Elephas maximus indicus: one gene and its partner. The protein of the gene in region 1 purifies or fractionates together with the protein of each later gene. This does not show direct contact. Links are inferred from orthologs where the notes say so. Each region holds a gene or a part of one and is shown in the gene's direction. Other genes may lie near its edges. The genes, in order: STK4 and RASSF3.

The links.
Region 2: the proteins of STK4 (region 1) and RASSF3 purify together in Homo sapiens (affinity purification with mass spectrometry; 5 studies listed by BioGRID and IntAct, with this or other methods). This does not show direct contact. The link is inferred for Elephas maximus indicus from reciprocal best matches to the Homo sapiens genes STK4 and RASSF3.

The regions. Positions count from the first base shown.
Region 1 is NC_064843.1:24,403,389-24,413,040, reverse strand, and holds the start of STK4 (serine/threonine-protein kinase 4), read left to right. Parts: upstream 1-5,207; 5' UTR 5,208-5,270; coding exon 5,271-5,305; intron 5,306-9,652. UniProt on the Homo sapiens protein: Stress-activated, pro-apoptotic kinase which, following caspase-cleavage, enters the nucleus and induces chromatin condensation followed by internucleosomal DNA fragmentation.
Region 2 is NC_064822.1:124,833,961-124,843,249, forward strand, and holds the start of RASSF3 (ras association domain-containing protein 3), read left to right. Parts: upstream 1-5,156; 5' UTR 5,157-5,415; coding exon 5,416-5,526; intron 5,527-9,289.

The DNA.
Region 1 (9,652 bases):
TCCCAAAAATCAATTTCTAGATCAGAGCATATACTTCATTTTTGCAAGGATTACACAATGTTTTCAAGCATGTGGCCCACAGATGGGCGGATGAGTATACATCACAACTACGAGAAACTATTAAACTAAAGATATGCATGTCGGACATCTGGACTCTAATCTGTATGTTTGTAACAGGCAAAAAAAAAAAACTTATATGAAAATCTCTCAGCTAGTGGAACTGGCCTGCCAAGTTTACTCTGACCGAGGAGGTGAGGAGCAAGAAGGAAAGTTACAGACCAAAAGCTCCAGGCAGCCTTCCTAGCTGCCATCTTGCAGGCTGAAGGCCATCTTCCAAGAGAATAAAGAGGAGGGAGACCAAGGCTGCAATGAGCCCAGAAGACCCTGCACCCTTTTGGAAAGAGACCAGTGCAGCTGGTGCAATAAAAAAAACTTATAGGTTACTTAGAGTATGGCTATGGCATTAGTTATGTCAAGCTCTCAGTCGCCCATTTTGAAAAGGAGAAAACATGTTGCGAAGTGTTAGGGTCACACACTGCCCTTTGGGAGTTTACAGTTCAAATTATTTGTGTAAATTCCTAAACTCACCAGACTATAAACTTGCTGAGTGTTGGGTGGCTGTTCCATCTGAATCCCCTCAGGCCAGAGAAAGTCCCACCCAAGAAGAAAGAATGACACCTTGGTGGGGAAACCAGATGAGGCATACTGTGTTAGTGGTCTACTCAATAGCCTCCATCTTTGCTTCCAGAGTCCCGATTTTTGCCTGGAATTCTCTCAGGTCCTGGAAAGGAATCAGGATTGCTTCAAACCAATCACAGTAACCTCATTCTTTTTTGTCAGTGATTGGTCCAGAAGTGGGCATGTGACCCTGATCTGGCCAATGAGGTAAGAGGAAGGCTACTGGGTGCTTATGGGAAAGTTTGTCCTCCCTGAAGAAAAAGACAGGTACAAGATAGAATAATCTTTTTGGCTCTCTTTCTACTTTGGGTAGTGTTAGGTTAAGGATGTGATACCTGGAGGTGTGTGGTAGCCATTTTGCAACTGTGAGGCAATAAGTACAAGTATGAAGAGCCAACCAGCTGAGTAGGATGGGTGAGGAAAAATAAAATTAACATTGTTGAGCCACTGAATCAACCCTGGAACTGCTGACTTCAGGACTTCTTGTTGATAAACAACAAATGTCATGGCGCTGAGACAGATAGGGTTAACTGTGCTGGCGGACTAAGAGCTGTTAAAAGATTACCATCTGAAGTTGGGTAAACAGGAACCACACCCTGTCAACATGGGAAAGGTTGAAACAACCCATGAATTACTATCTCTTCTTAGTGTTTTTCTAGTCCCTTCCCCCTGTACAGGCGCCACATGCACAGAAGCCAGATGCACATACAACCTAATTAACATGCACCACCATCCTGAGAAGTACCTGTCCCTTGAAAGAAGCCCACTAAGTATTCATTACTCTGTTGTCTCCGCCGAACCCATATAATCCCTAGCCTTGCTTCCCTTTTTGAGTCAGTCTTTTGGAGAGGCTTAGTCCCCTACTGACTCCTTTGACTTGACCCAAGGAAAATAAACCTTGCTGAAGATAAAGTTTGCCTTTCACGTGTATTTTTACTAGGGAAAAGACAAGGACCCTTTGTGTCAGATTGGCGATTGGTAACAGTGCCTTAAGCTGTCTTTTAGATATTGTCAATTACTTGCAGCTGGATATGTCCTAATTAATACACCAGACAAGTACACTTGTGGCAAATTGTGTTTTTGAAAAATAGCCACAACAATATTTCCAGACCCACACGCTCTTCCAGAACCTTACAGCTCCCCCATCAAGAGATGGAATCTATGTCTCCTGTCATTGAAAATGGGCAGGTCTTTGTGGGCCCCTCAACAGTGGAAGTGACTCTATGTAACTTGCAAAGGCAGGCCATTAAAATGCACCACAGCTTCTGGACATGTCATATGTATGGAATCATATAATATTTGGTGCTTTGTAACTGACTTTTTGCATGCCTCACATTTCAAGGTTCATCCATGTTGTAGCACGTATCAGTTCTCCATTTCTTTTTATTGTTAAACAATATTCCATTGAAGGGATATACCACATTTTGTTTATCCAACCACCCATTGATGGACATTTGTGTTGTTTTCATTTTTCAACAGGTGACTTTTTGATATTAAGATCTCTCTCAGAGTTAGCCATCTCGTCAAGGCCGCATTTAACATAACTGGGGAAAGAATAGATACTACAGATGAAGTCATTTTAATAGGGTAATATGCACACAGATTGTCATGGATTGAATTATGTCCCCCCAAAAATGAGTGTATCAATTTGGCTTGGCCGTGATTCCCACTATTGTGTGGTTGTCCTCCATTTTGTGATTGTAATTTTATGTTAAAGAGGATTAGGGCGGGATGTAACACCCTTGGTTAGGTCACCTCCCTGATCCAATGTAAAGGGAGTTTCCCTGGCGTGTGGCCTGTACCACCTTTTATCTTACAAGCAGCAAAAGGAAGTAAAGCATGCAGAGAGTGGGGGACCTGATACCACCAAGAAAGCAATGCCAGGAAGAACGCATGTCATTTGGACTTGGGGTCCCTGCACAGAGGAGCTCCTAGTCCAGGGGAACATTGTCGAGAAGGCCAACAGAGAGAGAAAGCCTCTCCCTGGAACTGATGCCCTGAGTTTGGACTGTTAGCCTATTTTACTGTGACGAAATAAACTTCTCTTTATTAAAGCCATGCGTTTGTGGTATTTCTGTTATAGCAGCACTAGATAACTAAGACAGACATTATTGGAGAAATATGTAATACAAAAAAAAATTTTTTTTTTTGCCTTTTAAATATTTCTCCCCTGAGTTAATTGATTTATAAACTGGGGATAATAATCCTTAATCATAAGGTTATTTTGAGGGTTAAGTCAAAGATCAGAACAGTGCCTGGCACATAGTATATTCTCAGTAAACGGTCTTCCATATGACATCAGGAGAATGGTTCTATTATACCTTGTCATTTTTGGCACGTGGGGTGCCATAGATAGGTGGCCCTGGAGGGTGTTGTTTAAGTGCTAAGTTTTGTAGTCACAAAGTCTAATAAAGCAAAAAGGAAGTTTTATTTGGCATATATTCAAAAAGGCAAAAGTGGGAAGTGGACAACCATGCTGCCAGAGTCACGTCTGCCAGAGTCCAAGGAATATTACAGAATAGGCAAGAATGGGAAAATGGACAAGCATGTTGCCACAGCCATGTCTGCCGGAGTCCAAGGAAAGTTACAGATCATCAGTATATATTAACGTTACAAAATGGGGAAAACCATCAAAAGCTTCATCTTTTCATAGATTGGGTAGAAACTGTGATCCTACATTTGGAATTGCCTTTCTTAACAATCATTGGTACAGGTTTCAGTAATGACAGTCAATAGGGTCTTCATTGGTCCAACAAATTTTCCATTCACTAAATGCTAATAGTAAGAGTGGAAAGTCTTTTGTGCACTGTTGATTGGCTTATGTGAAAGGTTCCCTGAAAGATATTTTCCAAGATTATCCTACCTATTGTCTTTATACTTCATGGCCTGGTTGATTTATTCTCGTGACTTCTTGTGAGTCCAGCTGCAGCTGGGTCACATTCTCTATGCTCAAGGACAGAGAATAATGATTCCAATATTATTTCCTAAAACAGTAGATGGCATACCTTTTGGAAAAACAGGACAATTGAAACTTCTGAGAGTTTGCTTTGGGTAAGCTTTCTCCTCTAACTCTTCTCTTCAGTAAATTGGGAAGAACACTGATGGTGGTAGCGACTGAGTATTTCTGAATTGTAATATCTGGAACTGGAACTCTGAGTTGGCAGGGGGAGGTCTGTCTCTCTTGCCCAACTAGAAGATACGCATAACCAGTTATCTAGTTTGGTGGGGCAGGCTCTGGAATCAGACCTAGATTTGAATCTCCAAACCTCTACTTTTAGCTGTGACCTTGAAGCAACACACTTCACCTCTAAGGGCTTATAAAATAACGTTAATGATAGTACTTATCTTGTAGGACTGGTAAACCAAAAAACCAAACCCACTGCCATTCAGTCAATTCTGACTCATAGAGACCCTACAGGACAGAGTAGAACTGCACCATAACGTTTCCAAGGAACGCCTGGTGAATTCAAACTGCAGACCACTTGGTTAGCAGCCGTAGCACTTAACCACTATGCCACCATGGTTTCCTGTAGGACTGGTAGGAGGATTAAATGAGTTAATGTTAGTACAGTGCTGAGAACAGAGCACTCTTTTTCAAATAGTTATAACCAATAGCCATCAAGTTGGTTTCAACTCATGGCTACTCCAGGTGTGTCTCAGTAGAACTGTGCTCCATAGGGTTTTCAATGGCTGATTTTTTGGAAGTAGATCCCCAGGCCTTTCTTCCGAGGCACCTCTGGTGAACTGAAACCACAAAGCCTACTGCATTAACCATTTGTATCACTCAAAACAAAAAACCAAACCCGTGGCTGGTGGAGTCGATTTGACTCATACACGGTTGCTATGAGTTGTATCACTAAGCGACTCCCAAAATAGTTATGCAAACACATAAAGACAGGGATAACCTTACAGACTTGATGTGAGGCTTAAATGAGATACTAAATGAATGCAAACACGTGGCAAATGCTATGTAAATGTTTGCTATTTCTGTGTCCAAAACTGACTCAAAGGCGAGGCAGTTAGACAGGGTGGGGCAATTTGCAGATAGATGTTCTGTGACATCCAAGGGAAGGGTTTGCACTGGGACAAGAGTTCAAGCAGGTAAGAGTTCTCCAGGAGCCCCTGAAGCAGGGCTTCCCATAAACAGTGTAGAATTTAGATTGCTAAAAATCGACAGTTCTCAACAAGTCACCGTTTCGCAAGAAGATTCAGTATCTCCATCTGAGAAAGGGAGGGCCAGAACCGGCACAGAAGTGGGTTCCCGACCAGGGACCGAATGTCTCTGGCAAACGATGCCGCTAGGAGACTCCACCACCAACAGTCTGAAGCTCAGGCGAGGACGCAGCAGGGAAAACACTCTTTCGCTGGGCGGTTCCGTGTTCCCGCCTTGCCGGGCCACGTGACTTAGATTTCTGACCACGTGATCCAGGTCCGCTTCCCCGCCCCCTGGCGGCTCCGCCCCGCTCCCGCCCTGCACGCCGCTTCCGGTAGGGGCGGAAAGCGGAAGTGTGGGAGGGTCTGTGGGGCGGGCTTGGGGAGGTCCAGAAGGAGGATGGAGCAGTGAGCGGGTACGGGCCGCTGCCGGCAGCGCCATGGAGACGGTGCAGCTGAGGAACCCACCGCGCCGGTGAGGGGGCAGTGGTTAAGAGGAAGGGTGCCGACGGGGCGTAGGAGAAAGGCGCGAGCTGGCTGCGGGGAGATACCTGTGTGGGAACCCCCGGGGAGGAGGGACCTGCGGGGCGGGCGACCTGGCTGCTGGGGGCACCTGCGGAGTGGAGATCTCTGGAAAGTGGTGGTTGAGGAGGATAAACCTGGGGACAAGTTAGGAGGAGTGCATGCTCAAGGCGAGGATCACTCGGGCGAAGGCTCTCCAAGAGGACTTACTGGGGTGGGGGCTGGTGGGCTCTGAAGCAGGATGAGAACCCATGAGGGGCCTGTCTAAGGGGTTGCTAGCCTTCCTAGCAGGAGGGAGGCTGGAGTGGACTTCTAAGGGAGGGAGTCCCACCTGAACGACCCAACGGGGGATGCTCTGCTGAGGGGAAAAGCTCTGCGCCTAAGGCTGAAGGCGTGGGAAGACAGGTGTGAGGGTCTAGCTAGGGAGCAGTCCGTGGAAGGTAGCATTTCGGGGGGATGCTCTTGGTAATATCCCCACTCTCTAGGTTGATGGTGGCATTTTCATTCCTGATGTCCAGAGTGCCTTCCTCTCGTCCTTATCCCTTCAAAACCTGATTTGGGGAGGTAGGTTAGGAAATAAGAGGATATTTTCAAGATGGACAAACTGAGACCCAAAAGAGTTGAGACAGAGCCCTATTTGTTTCCTTCTTTGCTGTAGGTCTGGGTCACTGCACCCAGCTAGGCTGTGTCCTTTTCTGGCCTCCACTGGAGTTGTCTTTAGGCCAAGATCAGGGAGATGACTGACCCTAGAAAGTTTGGTCGCAGTTGTCTTTGATTTGCTCTGTGGTCACCAGAGTTTTTGTCACCTTGTTGCATCTAGAGAAAAGTGGGGAGTAGATGCTGAGAGAATCATACTTCTCTGAAGTGCAGTGTACTTCGCTTCTATTTCGCAGAGCCCTCTGACTTCCTGCAGCAGAAGGATCACTGAAGTAGGAAGTGTTCAGTGTGTGGGAGTTAGGGGCAAGGGAGAGATGAAGCCAAAGGATTAGGCAGCACACTTGGGGTTGTTTGAGGTGGGCAAACATTTCAGAAGGCAAATAGCTGGTTGGGAAGGACTCAGAATTCACTCTTGTGTAGTGTGCAGAGACTGTAATAGAAATGATTAGCACACATAGAGTGAGTGTATACTGTGCCAGGCATTGTTCAAGTGCTTTCCATGTCTTCTGTTGAACTGTATGAAATTGCTGATATTTGACTATTATTGACCTGTAAAAGGAGGCCTGGTGGCACAGTGGTTAAGAGCTCAGCTGTTAACCAAAAGGTTGGCAGTTCAAGACCACCAGCCTCTCCTTGGAAACCCTTATGGGGTACTTCTACTCTGTCCTATAGGATCGCTATGAGTTGGAATTGACTCAGTGGCAATGGGTTTGGTTTCTTCATTTTTTTGGACCTGTAAAAATTGTGATGTCATATGGTTCAATTTATTATTAACTCGTTTAGTCCTCAAAGGAAACCGTTGTGGCGTAGTGGTTAAGTGCTACGGCTGCCAACCAAAGGGTTGGCAGTTCGAATCTGCCAGGCGCTTCCTGGAAACTCTATGGGGCAATTCTACTCTGTCCTGTAGGGTCGCTATGGGTCGGAATCGACTCGACAGCACTGGCTTTGGTTTTGGTTTAGCCCTCAAAACAATCCTGTAAAGAGAATATCTCTATATCCTATTTTACAGATGATAAAATTGAGGCACAGAGAGGTTAGTGATTTGCTGGAGGTCCCGCAGCTAATAAGTGGCAAAAACCCATTGAGCCGATTCCGACTCATAGTGGCCCTTATAGGACAGAGTAGAACTACTCCAGTGGTTGGTAGATTCCAACTCCTGTGCCTTTGGTTAGCAGCCAGGCTCTCAACCACTGTGTCACCAGGGCTCCAGTAAGTGGCAAAACTGGGATTTTAATCCAGGCAGTCTGGACCAATGTTCATGCTCTCAACTCTTCATTCCACTGCTTCTCTGGAAGTACCCCCGTTTCGCAGGACCTTGTGTATATTAGCAGATATTTACCATAGCACCATAGAGAACCAATTATAAATGTACACTGGTTGTTTCTATCTGATGTATGTGCATTCTTTCTCCTTGAGAACCAGGCCTTGGTTTAACTGAAAAGAGGATTAAGAATCTAAATTTTGTTTCTACGATTGCCTTGTGTTGTATAATCTTGGGCTAAGGAATAAGCCTTTTTCACTTTCTGACATGCTTGTTCCTGTATCTTTTGGATTTTTTTTTTTTAATTAAAATTGCAAGAGAAGAGCATTCAAGACCGAGTTCTTGGATGATTAGTGCTTTCATGATCATCATAACTAGTGGGACTACAGCCGATAAGTTTTTAAAAAACTCCATCGGTTTATCTTATATATTTATTGCAAACCCTATCAAATTCTGTGTGAAAGAGAAAAACAAAACTAAACCAGTTGCTCTCGAGTCGATTCTGACTCATGGAAAGAGGGGTAGGTGTATATCAATAAAATAAATCTTACAGGAGTTCTTTGGACGTGTCATTAGGAAAGACCAATCCTTAGAAAAAGACATCATGTTTTGTAAAGTAGAGGGTCAGCAAAAATGAGGGGAACCCTCAGTGAGCTGGATTGATAAGATAGCCACAACAGTGGGCTCTGATATATCAAAGATCATGACGATGGTGCAGGACCAGGCAGAGTTTCATTCTGTTGTGTATAAGGTCGCCGTGAGTGACAACAACAGGAGTTCTAAGTTGGGAGAAAGAAGTTTGAGAAACCTGTGTGACCACTTCATAAGCACCCTTTTAAAAGATACCAATGTCTTTTCAGAGATGCAGTTGGTATGCCTTTCCAACAAGGGCTAGCAACTCCAAGGCAGGAAATGCTCTTTGTGTTCATGAGTTTGATTGTTGTGTGTGACTAAGTGAATGATGCTGGATTAAAGTTGGTATCTTATGTAGGACTTGATGATTTAAAAAAGTGAGTGCGGTTAAATAATGTCGGGGTGGTGGAACATGTAGATTGCATTCCTGGGATGCTGGCCACCTACCTGGTCATCTGACTGGAGAGGAGCATCCACTGGTATTAGGTCCACGGAGGCTGTGTTGGCCAGGCCTGTTTGCTCATGAGCAAGTGCCGAAACAACCTGGGACCTGGGTAAGTCCCAGCCAAGAGAGCTGCATCATCAAAGTTGGGCTGTTTTGGTCATCGTACTTGTTCCATGAAGACTCACGGTATGAAATATCATTAAGAGTCACTTATCAGAAGATTTTCCATAGAAATCTTACTCTTAGGTGAAATACTGTTTTATTTTGAAAACTCATAAAACTTGTTGACGATGGTTATGATTCCTATCATTATATTCATTAATGCATTTAGCAAATATTTATTGACCACTATTTTTTATCAGGCACCAGAGATGTAAAGGCCCCTGAAGTTCAGGTTGTTTTAAAATAACTCTGGACTCAACACAAACAAACAAGGAACCACTTAGATTTTTATAAAGGACTATCTGAGCAGCTGCATGAAGTTTGTCTGTCAAAGTATTATCAGAGGTTTGCAGCCGTTTCACTCATGGCATTGGCAGTTTCCTTTGTTATGCTGTGGTTTCTGTAGAAGTTGAAATAGTGAGTTTTGCTTTTTGTAAACGGTAGCAGTGAACACTTCGAAGGAATACATTTGATCTTCCTTTATATAAACTATTTATAAAACTTTAATTACACTTAAGAAATGAGGTATTGTCTATTGTTTATACAGTTAAAAAATTCAGGGCTTAAAAAGAAAAGCCAAACCAGAAACCCTGGTTTTTGAGATGTTCGCTCGAATTTCTGAATTCGTAGAAAATTTGCTTCTGAAGTTTAAGAGGAGTTTCACTTCAGCCCCTTGTGTTTAAAAAAAAAAAAATGTGTTTAGAAGCTGGGAGTTTTTATGATGTCATTGGAATTTAATTTTTAGGACCTTTTGATTTCAAAGGTCAGTGTGGCATTTTATATTAATTTTCATGTTAAGGCAGTTATTGGCTTGGAGCAGTTCTCCATTTTGTTAGTACATGGTCCTTGATATTTATGATTCTGTAAGGTTGGCCTTTTGAGATCAGTCCTTGTTGGTAGATACACTTAATCTGTTCAGGTTTCTTCTCTTCTCTTCTGGTTTTGCCATTGTCTCAAGGAAGATACACATTTGTGTATGTGTGTGTATAATTTTTTTTTAATTCAAATCTTTTTTTTTAATAAGAATTGGTATTGTCCACCTAGGTTAGACTTTTTTCTTTACAAAGAACTCCCTAGCTTGACTACTTCCATATTTCACCATTTCCTGAGCTCACTTTTCTTTTTTGTCCTTTGTAGTTTCA
Region 2 (9,289 bases), on another chromosome or scaffold:
TCTTAAGGTGTGGAAACTTTTCTCAAAAGCCACCTACCAGACTTGCTTTCCCATCTCAGTGATTGGGATCGGCCTGCCTGGGCCTAAAACAGTCCCTGGCAAGGGGATGAGACCATCACAACTGACTGGAAATCTGGATTCACCCCTGAGCTGGGGATTGAGCTTCTTCCCTGAGAGGAGGGCCCCTGAACTAAATTGTTTGGTTAACAAGGAAGAAGTAGATAATGGATGTTGAGTATGCAACAAGGTCTAATATTTGAGGCAAGAAAGAGTAATATTTGCTTAGCCTTATTCTGTGCCAACGGCTTTCACGGATTCTCTCATTTAATCCTTATGGTAACCAGTGATGAACCTGAGACACGGAGAAGCTAATTTGTTAAAGGTCACGCAAGGCTGACAGTTTCAGCATTCAAAGTCAGGTCTGCCCGGCCTCCAAGGCCATGCTTTTTCCAAATCACACAGGTTTCAGTTATCTGTCAATGTGGCCTTTAATATAAATTTATTATGTATCTCCCTGATAAACTACCTGTTTCTAGCACCAGAACAACATTTACCTACGATTATATTTACATAGATGTAATTATATTATAGATGCTGATTCATGACTTGCTTTTAAAAAATATTTGCCAATTTCATGAGTGAAAAATGTACTCCTTTGTTTTCATTTACTTATTCTCCATCCAGGTGCCAAAGGGGTCCTTTAAAAAAAAAGAAGTGAAATAAGTCAAATCATGTGACTCCTCTGCCCAAAACACTCCGGTGGTTTCTCATCTCAGAGAAAAACTAAAACCAAAGTTCTCACAAATGTTTTCAAGGTCTTGTAGGAATGATAACCTCTTTGTCCGTGTTACATTTCTGATCATAATTCCTGTTGTAGGGAAAAAACATCACAAAGTTTAGTAAAGAAAAAGAAAGTTTTATTCGGCATATATTCAAAAAGGCAAAACTGAGAAGCGGACAAGCGTGCTGTCCGAGCCATGTCTGCCCCAGTCCAAAGAATACTACAGAATAGCCAAGAGTGGGAAAACGGACAAGCATGCTGCCATAGCTATGTCTGCCGGAGCCCAGTGAAGATTACCATCATGAGTACATATTAACATTGCAAATGGGCAAAACCACTGAAAGCTTTGCCTTTTCACAGATTGGCTAAAAACTGCGATCCTACATTTTGCATTATCTTTCTTAATAATCAGTGGTACAGGTTTCAGTAACAACAGTCTGGAGGGTCTTCACTGGTCCAACAAATTTTCTATTCACTAAATGCTAACAGAAAAAGAGTGGGAAGTCTATGTTCTGTTTGATTGGCTTATGTGAAAGCTTCCCTAAAATCCATTTTCCAAGATTATCCTAGCTATTGTCTTTATACCTCAGGGCCCAGTTGATGTGTCTTTGTGAATCCTTGTGAGCCAGGCTCCAGCTGGGTCACATTCTCTATGCTCAAGGACAGGGAATAATGATTCCAATAATATTTTCTAAATCATTCCTAATATTCTCCCCTCCACCTATTCATTTCAGACACACTGGCTTCTTTGCTTTTGTTTAAACATGCTAAGCACTCTCATACCTCAGGACATTTGCACTTGCTGTCCTCTCTGGCTGAAATGCTTTCCCACAGATATCTGCAGGAGTGGCTTCTTCATCTCCTACATTATCCTTGCTCAAAATGTTCCTCCACGAGAACTTCAATAACCAGGCTACGTAAAACATCCTTTATCTTTTTTCCATGATTTATGTGAGTATTTATTATCTTCTAACACACTATGTAATTTTTATCTACCAACACCCACTAAAATATAAGCTCTATGAGAATAAAGATTTTTGTCTGTTTTGTCCAAGTGATTTATCCTTTGTGATGAGATCAGTATCTGGCATGTAGTATGTGCTTAATAAATATTTGCTGACTGAATGAATGTTTTAATATACTTATTGGTTATTTACATTTCTCCTCTCATGAACTGCTTGTCATGTTCTTTGCTTATTTTTCTGATGAGATGTTCAACTTATTTACTAATTTACGCAAGCTCTTTGTATTTTAAGGATATCAGCCCTGTGTCATTTATACGGCAAACATTATATGGCAAAAGAAAAAAGTTTGTCTTTTGTCTTTTAGTATTGTGTATGTGTATGTGCAAAATATTTGGATTTTTACATAGGCAAATCTAGAAACCTTTTCCTTTATGATGCTGTTTTACATTTATTAGGAAAAGTTGGTAAAAGAAAAATTTTACTTTTAATTGTAGTTAGTCAAAGTATGGTTGTGCCTTAAATTTCTCCTACATTTATTATAAATGAGTTTCTACCATTTGTGGACTCAGATAAACACTACTTAAGGAATCTGACTAATGATTTAAACTTTTTGGTTGATAATTACATTTATAGGATTGTTGTTCTCATTGTGGATTATCTGGTGAGCAAGAAGGTTAAACTGTTACTTAGGCCTCTTCTTTTGTATTAACTTAAAATAATTTGATTGCAGGGTTACTAAAATACAATTACAAAACGGTTGTGTGTTTATAATATTTGCAGGTATTTACTACATTTTAAATATATTCCCCACATACACAGAAATTATACGGTCTTTCTCCCGGACCGTAAATCTAAATCATTAGGGTTTTACAAATTGCTGGAACATTAATGGTCACAGAATCTACTCAAACATTCAATTCTGTGTTTGACAGCAAGTCCTTTCAAAACTAACCTTGGTTGCGTACATGTTGTTTATTCCACTCCCTTTCCCTGAATTTTAAATGTTAAAAATGTCAAGTTGCTTAACGTAGTATTTTGAATTTTTACAAACACTAAATTCATTAACCAAATTTTAAATTTGTATTTTTATTAAGAATGCTATAAAATATAGAAATATGATTATTATGCTGGTTTTGGAAACAGAAGGCCAATTCTTCTTTCATTTATTATTTTTTTGCTTTTTGTTGTTTGAAAGTAGTGCTTCTACTTCATTATTCAATCATGCCTTTTCGCTATAATTGATTCTGTTGGTTTGCTGAAGGATATAAAAATTAATTCGGTCCTTTGTAACTTACAAACAATAGAATGAAAAAATTGGTTTTTATGGCATAAAAAACCCAAACCAACCCCATTGCCATTGAGTCGATTCCAACTCATAGAGTGACCCTATAGGACAGAGTAGAACTACCCCATAGGGTATCCAAGGAGCAGCTGGTGAATTCAAACTGTTGACCTTTTGGTAGCAGCTCAGTTTTTAACCACAGTGCCACCTTTTATGGCATGGTCGACCATAAAGCACTTTCATGTATTTTCTTTTTAATATTTTCCTCAGAGTATTCAGAAACTTTAAAATAATTTGTTCTGGATGGGGTTATTTCCCCTTTCCACTCATAATAAAATAAGTTATTTGAATTCTTTAACGTACACATCACTCTTAAATTGGATTATTTAATAAGGATTACATTAATGAAGTAGTGTAAGAATGGAAACCAAATAAGAAAAATCTTTCATAAAGTAAGTAAATCGTTGTATTCTCTTCCATGAGGTTGTGTGGAACATACAGGAATCAGTTTAGACTGGGCAACACAATGTGGGGTTAGAATTCCTGGCTTCTAACCATTTAGTAGCTGTGTGACTAAGAAGGCTTTAATGTTGTGGATACTTTAAAAGGTGCTGTATGCCAATGGAGTTGTTGTGAACCACGTGGGGGTAATATACAGCTTTGCCAGTGGGATGTGTGCAAAGTGGGTCTGAGGCAAAGTAAGTAGGTGTGCAAGCCTTGTTTTTGCCTGGGGGCTAGATAGGTGATTTATGAACTAATTTTACTTCTCTCTTTCCGGCCATCTCTGGTCCAGCGCTCCTTCCACTAGTACACAAATGAGCAAGGCTGACCACCAAACAAGTGAGGGCCTAGAGGGGTATTTTTTAACATGTTAACACTTTTTTTTTTAACACCAGGATAAAGCAGAGCGGAGTGGTTCGTGCCCTGACACCTACAGCTGGCTCCCTTCCTCTCTCTAAACCTCGGCTGTTTTCAGTGTAAAAGAGGCATAAAACAGTACTGACTACCTTATAGAGTTGTTTTGAAGGTTCAGGGAGAAAGCTTAGCTATGATAGGTGAAAATTTTCTCTCTTAACCCTTTTCTTCCCCTCCTAATAAAACCTCTCCTGAAGCCTACTTACTGTAGCTGTGCTTTTCAACATCTTAGGGTTCAAAACAACCTTCAGGATCTCTGCTAGGAAATGAGTATAATTTAAACAATTTAGTACACACAAAGGTGTAAATGACTGGTACCTATAGGTGGTTTGCAGGGTGATTGTTCATTTTAAGAGAAGATTTGGGGACTTGTAGAATTTTAAAAAAGTATGGCAACTTTTTTGGTAGGTGGATGAATGAGATTCTTTGATGCCCCTCACCCCCCAAACTACTTAAACCACACCTGTAGGTTCACCATGTAAGGCAGATTTAGGAAGCGGACGTTTAAAAAGTATATTTAAATAACAAGCACACAATTGTTTAACACTTTCTCTATTGAACCAGTTCATTCCCCTCTGCACCAGGTGTCTCTGAGATCACAACGACCTTGGCTGTCCTCAACTGGGAATGACCCCGCGCTAGAGAGAAGGGGAAGAGGGAAAGAACGGAGCTCAATTAAATTGCCAGAGAGGACATTTTCATTCGAATAAACTTAACCCAGTTGGTAATTTCCCCGCCATCTCCGCTAACTTCTAACCCGCCATAAAGGGCGATCTGTTGGGAGTTTGGGACGGCAAGTTCCGGCTCCAGGACGCCCGAGGTTTAGGGTCCCCCACCCCCACCCCACCCCACCCCACCCCACCCCACCCCCACCCCCACCCCCACCCCCACCCCGGCCAGGCAGTCTTCACCGCCACCCGCAGGGCTCAGAGTGGGAGCGAGTAGGGCCGCGACCGCGGGGAAATTTCCCAGCTCTGCTCCCGCCCTCCCCAAAATGCGAACCAGCGGAGTAGGGGGCGGGCGGACAGATCAGAGACGACAGTTTCCGGGAGGTTGGGGAAGCGATCCAGGGCACCGCACCACTCTACGCAGCTCCCGAACCGGGTTTTCCCGGTTGCACAAAAACGGTTAAGAGCCGAGCGCCTGGCAGGGGCGGGCCGCTCCGCCCCCACCTGCGGCCGCCAGGGGTGGGGCCGACCGGACCGCCCGGCCCAGGCAGGCCGGCTGTGGGGCGGGGCCCCGGAAGGCGGGGCGGTGGACGCACCGGGTCCCCGGCAGCGCCAGGAGTGGGGTGGCGAGGCAGCTGGAGGGGCGGGACGGCCGGGCTGAGCGGCGGCTGCAGCTGTAGCAGGACGGCCCGCCGGCGCTTGGGGGCCGCGCGCCGGGAGCCTCGCGGGGCAGGAGGGCGCGGCGCCCCCTGCTTGGCCGCCTGCGCCCCGGAAAGGCTGCCTGTACGCGACGGGACCAGCAGCATGAGCAGCGGCTACAGCAGCCTGGAGGAGGACGCCGAGGACTTCTTCTTCACCGCCAGGACCTCCTTCTTCAGAAGAGCGCCCCAGGGCAAGCCCCGCGCCGGTCAGCAAGTGAGTGGTGCGCTCAGAATGACCCGCGCCCCATCGCTCCCTGGGGTTAAGCGGTCCCGGGCCCCCAGACTCCACGTGGCTCCGTGGGGTCGCGCGAACGATACTCGCCGCGTATAGCAGGCGGCCTCCGAGAAGTGGCTTCTGCCTCTTTGGATCCCGGGAACGTGCCTCGAGTTTGTGCATGTGGGCGTGCTCGCAGGGGGCGCCCTGGGTGAGCGAAGGAGGAGGAAGAACGCGGAGGCTGAGGCGCCCCCTCTTGCCTTCCGCGCCAGATGGGCTCTACGGCTCTGCCCCGGGGCTGCTGGTGATCGCCGCGCTCTCGGCGGAGCCGGTGCGCTGAGCCGGCTGCCGGGGAGCAGTTCCGAGAGCGATTCTGGTGCCCCGGACCACTCCTGGCGTTTCCCCCGCGTCCGGGGAACGCCCTTCGCGCCCCCGTGGATAAACGGTTGGGTCGGCGTGCCAGCCCCTACTCTTAGTCTTCTCAGTGACCAGTGGCCCTCTGAGTGCCTTGGCGGGGGGGTAGTGGAACCGGGTAACAGCAAGGGGGTGGACGCGGTGACCAGGCCGCCTCCCCCTTATTGGTCCGGGAGCGTCTTGAGGGAAGCCGAGGGCCTGACGACAGTAGACGATCAATAAATGTTGGTTGCGGGAGTCAAGGTTGTGCGTTTCCTGTGAAGTCAAGTTTATAGGTGCCTAGAATGTTTTGCAGACAAGTTCTGGTGCTAGGTAAATATGACCGCTCGAGCTAAGCTTTAGGCCGGTTTCTTCCTTTTTTGGAGGAAGCATGCCCTGGGAAGCATGACTTGGGAAAAGATGGGAAGGGAACTTGGATCAGTTTCGCCGGCCGTGACACTGTTTTTCAGGGAGGTTTTCCCAAAACTGAGTACTTCGGCAGGACTTCCAAGTCTGGCGCTTGAACTCGCACCCTCCAGGCCCTGGGAGCCGCACCAGGGAGCCCTGCCAACTCAGCCATGCTCACATCAGATTAGAGAAGTCTAATGGAACAAATTTGTTGCTCTTAAAAAGCAGCAGGCACACCAAACATTTCTAACTGACTTAGTCCTGGAGACTAGAAGCAAGAAAAATCATTCAGGGGCCTGGATGATGAGTTTTAGGGGGTCGGGAGGCAGTAATCTTTCAGGGTTTCCTTGCCAGACCTTTTAAGTTTATTTAACCACGTTCTGAGCTCAGATTTCTTTTTAAGATTCGGAAGTTGTAGTCTTTTCAACCTCTTAAGTTTCAAACTAGAAGGAGGGGGAGAGGGGACGGTTAAGGGCAAGAGTGAAGTCAAGTGCGCTTATTCAGTAACAGCAGTTAATTCAAAGTGAAGTTCTGGTGTAGTAGTTTTTCTTTGTTGTTTCTGAGGCTTAAAGGTGCACACTATTTATTAGTCTCTTTGAGTGATCTCTTGTCTTCCGTGCAGTGTATTCTAATGGCATGAGATTTCTGTGAAGTTTGGAAGCCAGAAACCAACCTATAGCCCCAATAGGTTATAGAAGAATTGCATTTTGGGGGGCCTTTTTTCCCTTGGCCCATTTGTTCCTCTCTATTCTTTCTTTCCTTTCTCCACTCTGTTTTCTCCTTCCTCTTATGTTGCTGTTACCATTTGACATGCAGTTGTCAGACATGATTATAATAGTTTGAAGTTTATTCCAGAAGTGCCTGGTAATCTCCAGTAACTTGCAGGTTCTTGGGTTCTCCTGATGTGAACTGAGAATCCTTCAGTGCTTAAAGATAAGAGCATCGATTTTTTCCTAAGTGTATGCACTTACAGTGTTTCTGTGTTACACTCATTCATTTATGTAAGTCATTTAGCATATGTATTATGCTCGTTCACGTAATATTGTTCATTTAGCATTTAGAACTAGCCTACCTTAACGAGTGTTTTCAAGTGTTGTGCTGAAAATCAGGATTCTAAGGTCTAGTTCTTTGCTTGAAGAGGTAACTACATGTGTTCTGAAGCTTTGTTGCCTGTATACTTCCCCTTTTGACCTAACACATGCCAGGTCTAGAGATAGGACTTATTTGACGGGTGAAGAAAGTGTTCTAAACTTTGAGTCTTAGATGGAATTTTGGCTTATTTAAAGAAGTGACTGAGAGAATCTTTTAAATTCCTGCTAAGATTTGTGAGTTAAGGAAGTAAAACATAATAAATACAAAGCAAGGCACTCTTAATGTAGAGGATTTCTGTCACCTAAGGCTAGGCAAGCCTTCATTGTATTGTGCTGGCAGTTATAAGGAAAAGATAAACACCACTGACGTATAATGTAATATAATCTTTTCTCTAGAGAGATGGAAAGAGAATTGTTGCCATAAGAGCTCTTATTGATAATACTGGGTTTTTTTGGTACTGTACCACCTGGTGGAAAAGCTGGGAAAACTCTTGAAAATATCCAGAGAAAGCAAGATGTTTGTGGTCAATACAGGATGAGGAGAAAGGTGGGGGCAGAAGAAATCTTTCTTCTCTTACCAGGCAACGGAACATATCCCAACTTCTGTCTCCCAACTCCTTTCCGTCCACAACAATAAAAAAAAAAAAAAAAAAAGTTATTTTCCTTCTTATTTTGGTATCCTGTTCTCTTGGAAACAAAAAAAAAAAAAGGAAGAAAACAGTTAAAAATTCACTTATATGGGTGTCAAGTGAATGAACATATGGCCTTTTGTAGCTGTTTGAATGTCACGTTTGTCACTGTATCCTCAGGGCCTAGACCAGTACCAGTTGTTGCTCAGTGAATACTAGTGACTGAATTAATGCTTTCCTGGTTTGATAATAATTGGCTCTTTGTTGTTTTCAAAAATCTTATGATTCTTCCAAGAATCCTCTGAAGCACTAACCTAATGAAAGGTGAGGTGCTGTTAAGCGATCACCCTGAAAGGCCCACACTTGGGGTAAGGGCTGGAACTCAGGTATTCTGATACAAATCCCAGTCTCCTTTTTGTTGCTTTATCAGCTATAAAAATAATTTAAAAAAATCCGTTTTCATTTGGCAAATGTGGACAGCTATAATTTAGGAGTTGCTTAAAATTTCAATCTGCTGCCCTACCTATAAAATCCTGGGTGGCACAGACGTTTTCTGGAGTAATGCTTAAGAGCTACAGCTGCTAACCAAAAGGTCAGCAGTTTGAATCCACCAGGTGCTCCTTGGGAACTCTATGGGGCAGTTCTACTCTGATCTATAGGGTCGCTATGAATTGGAATTGATTAGAAGCAAACAAGGTTTTTAAATTTTTTATTAACCAAAAGGTTGATGGTTTGAACTTACCCAGCAGCACTGCGGAAGACAGGCCTGGCAGTCTGCTCCAAAAGGTCACAGCCTTGAAAACCCTGTGAAGGAATTCTACTCTGCACACATATGGTCACCATGAGTTGGTTGTTGTTTCAAGGAGACCATAGGTAATAGACAGTTCTGTAGCTCATAATTTGCCTATTCGGGTATTCCAATAAAATCAAACTACCTATGGATACAGGACACGTTCAGGACACACAGAATGGCCTAGAATCATTTATATAATCTATTGGAGCACATCTTGCCTCATAGCTTTTTCTTCTTTGGTAGTTAACGGGAATAAGGAAATGGGACACTGATTTTGATTTAAAGTATAGTAGTCAAGAAGTCTTGAAAAGCTTGAAATTGTCTTCTAAACCATACACAGCTTTTAAAATTTTTTACTGAGGGATTGTTTAGTAAGGCAAGCTTGTGAGATGCCGTGTACCAGGCCTCAGATATCTCCCTCGGTGTTTTCTTCTTCTCGTAGTTTAGAT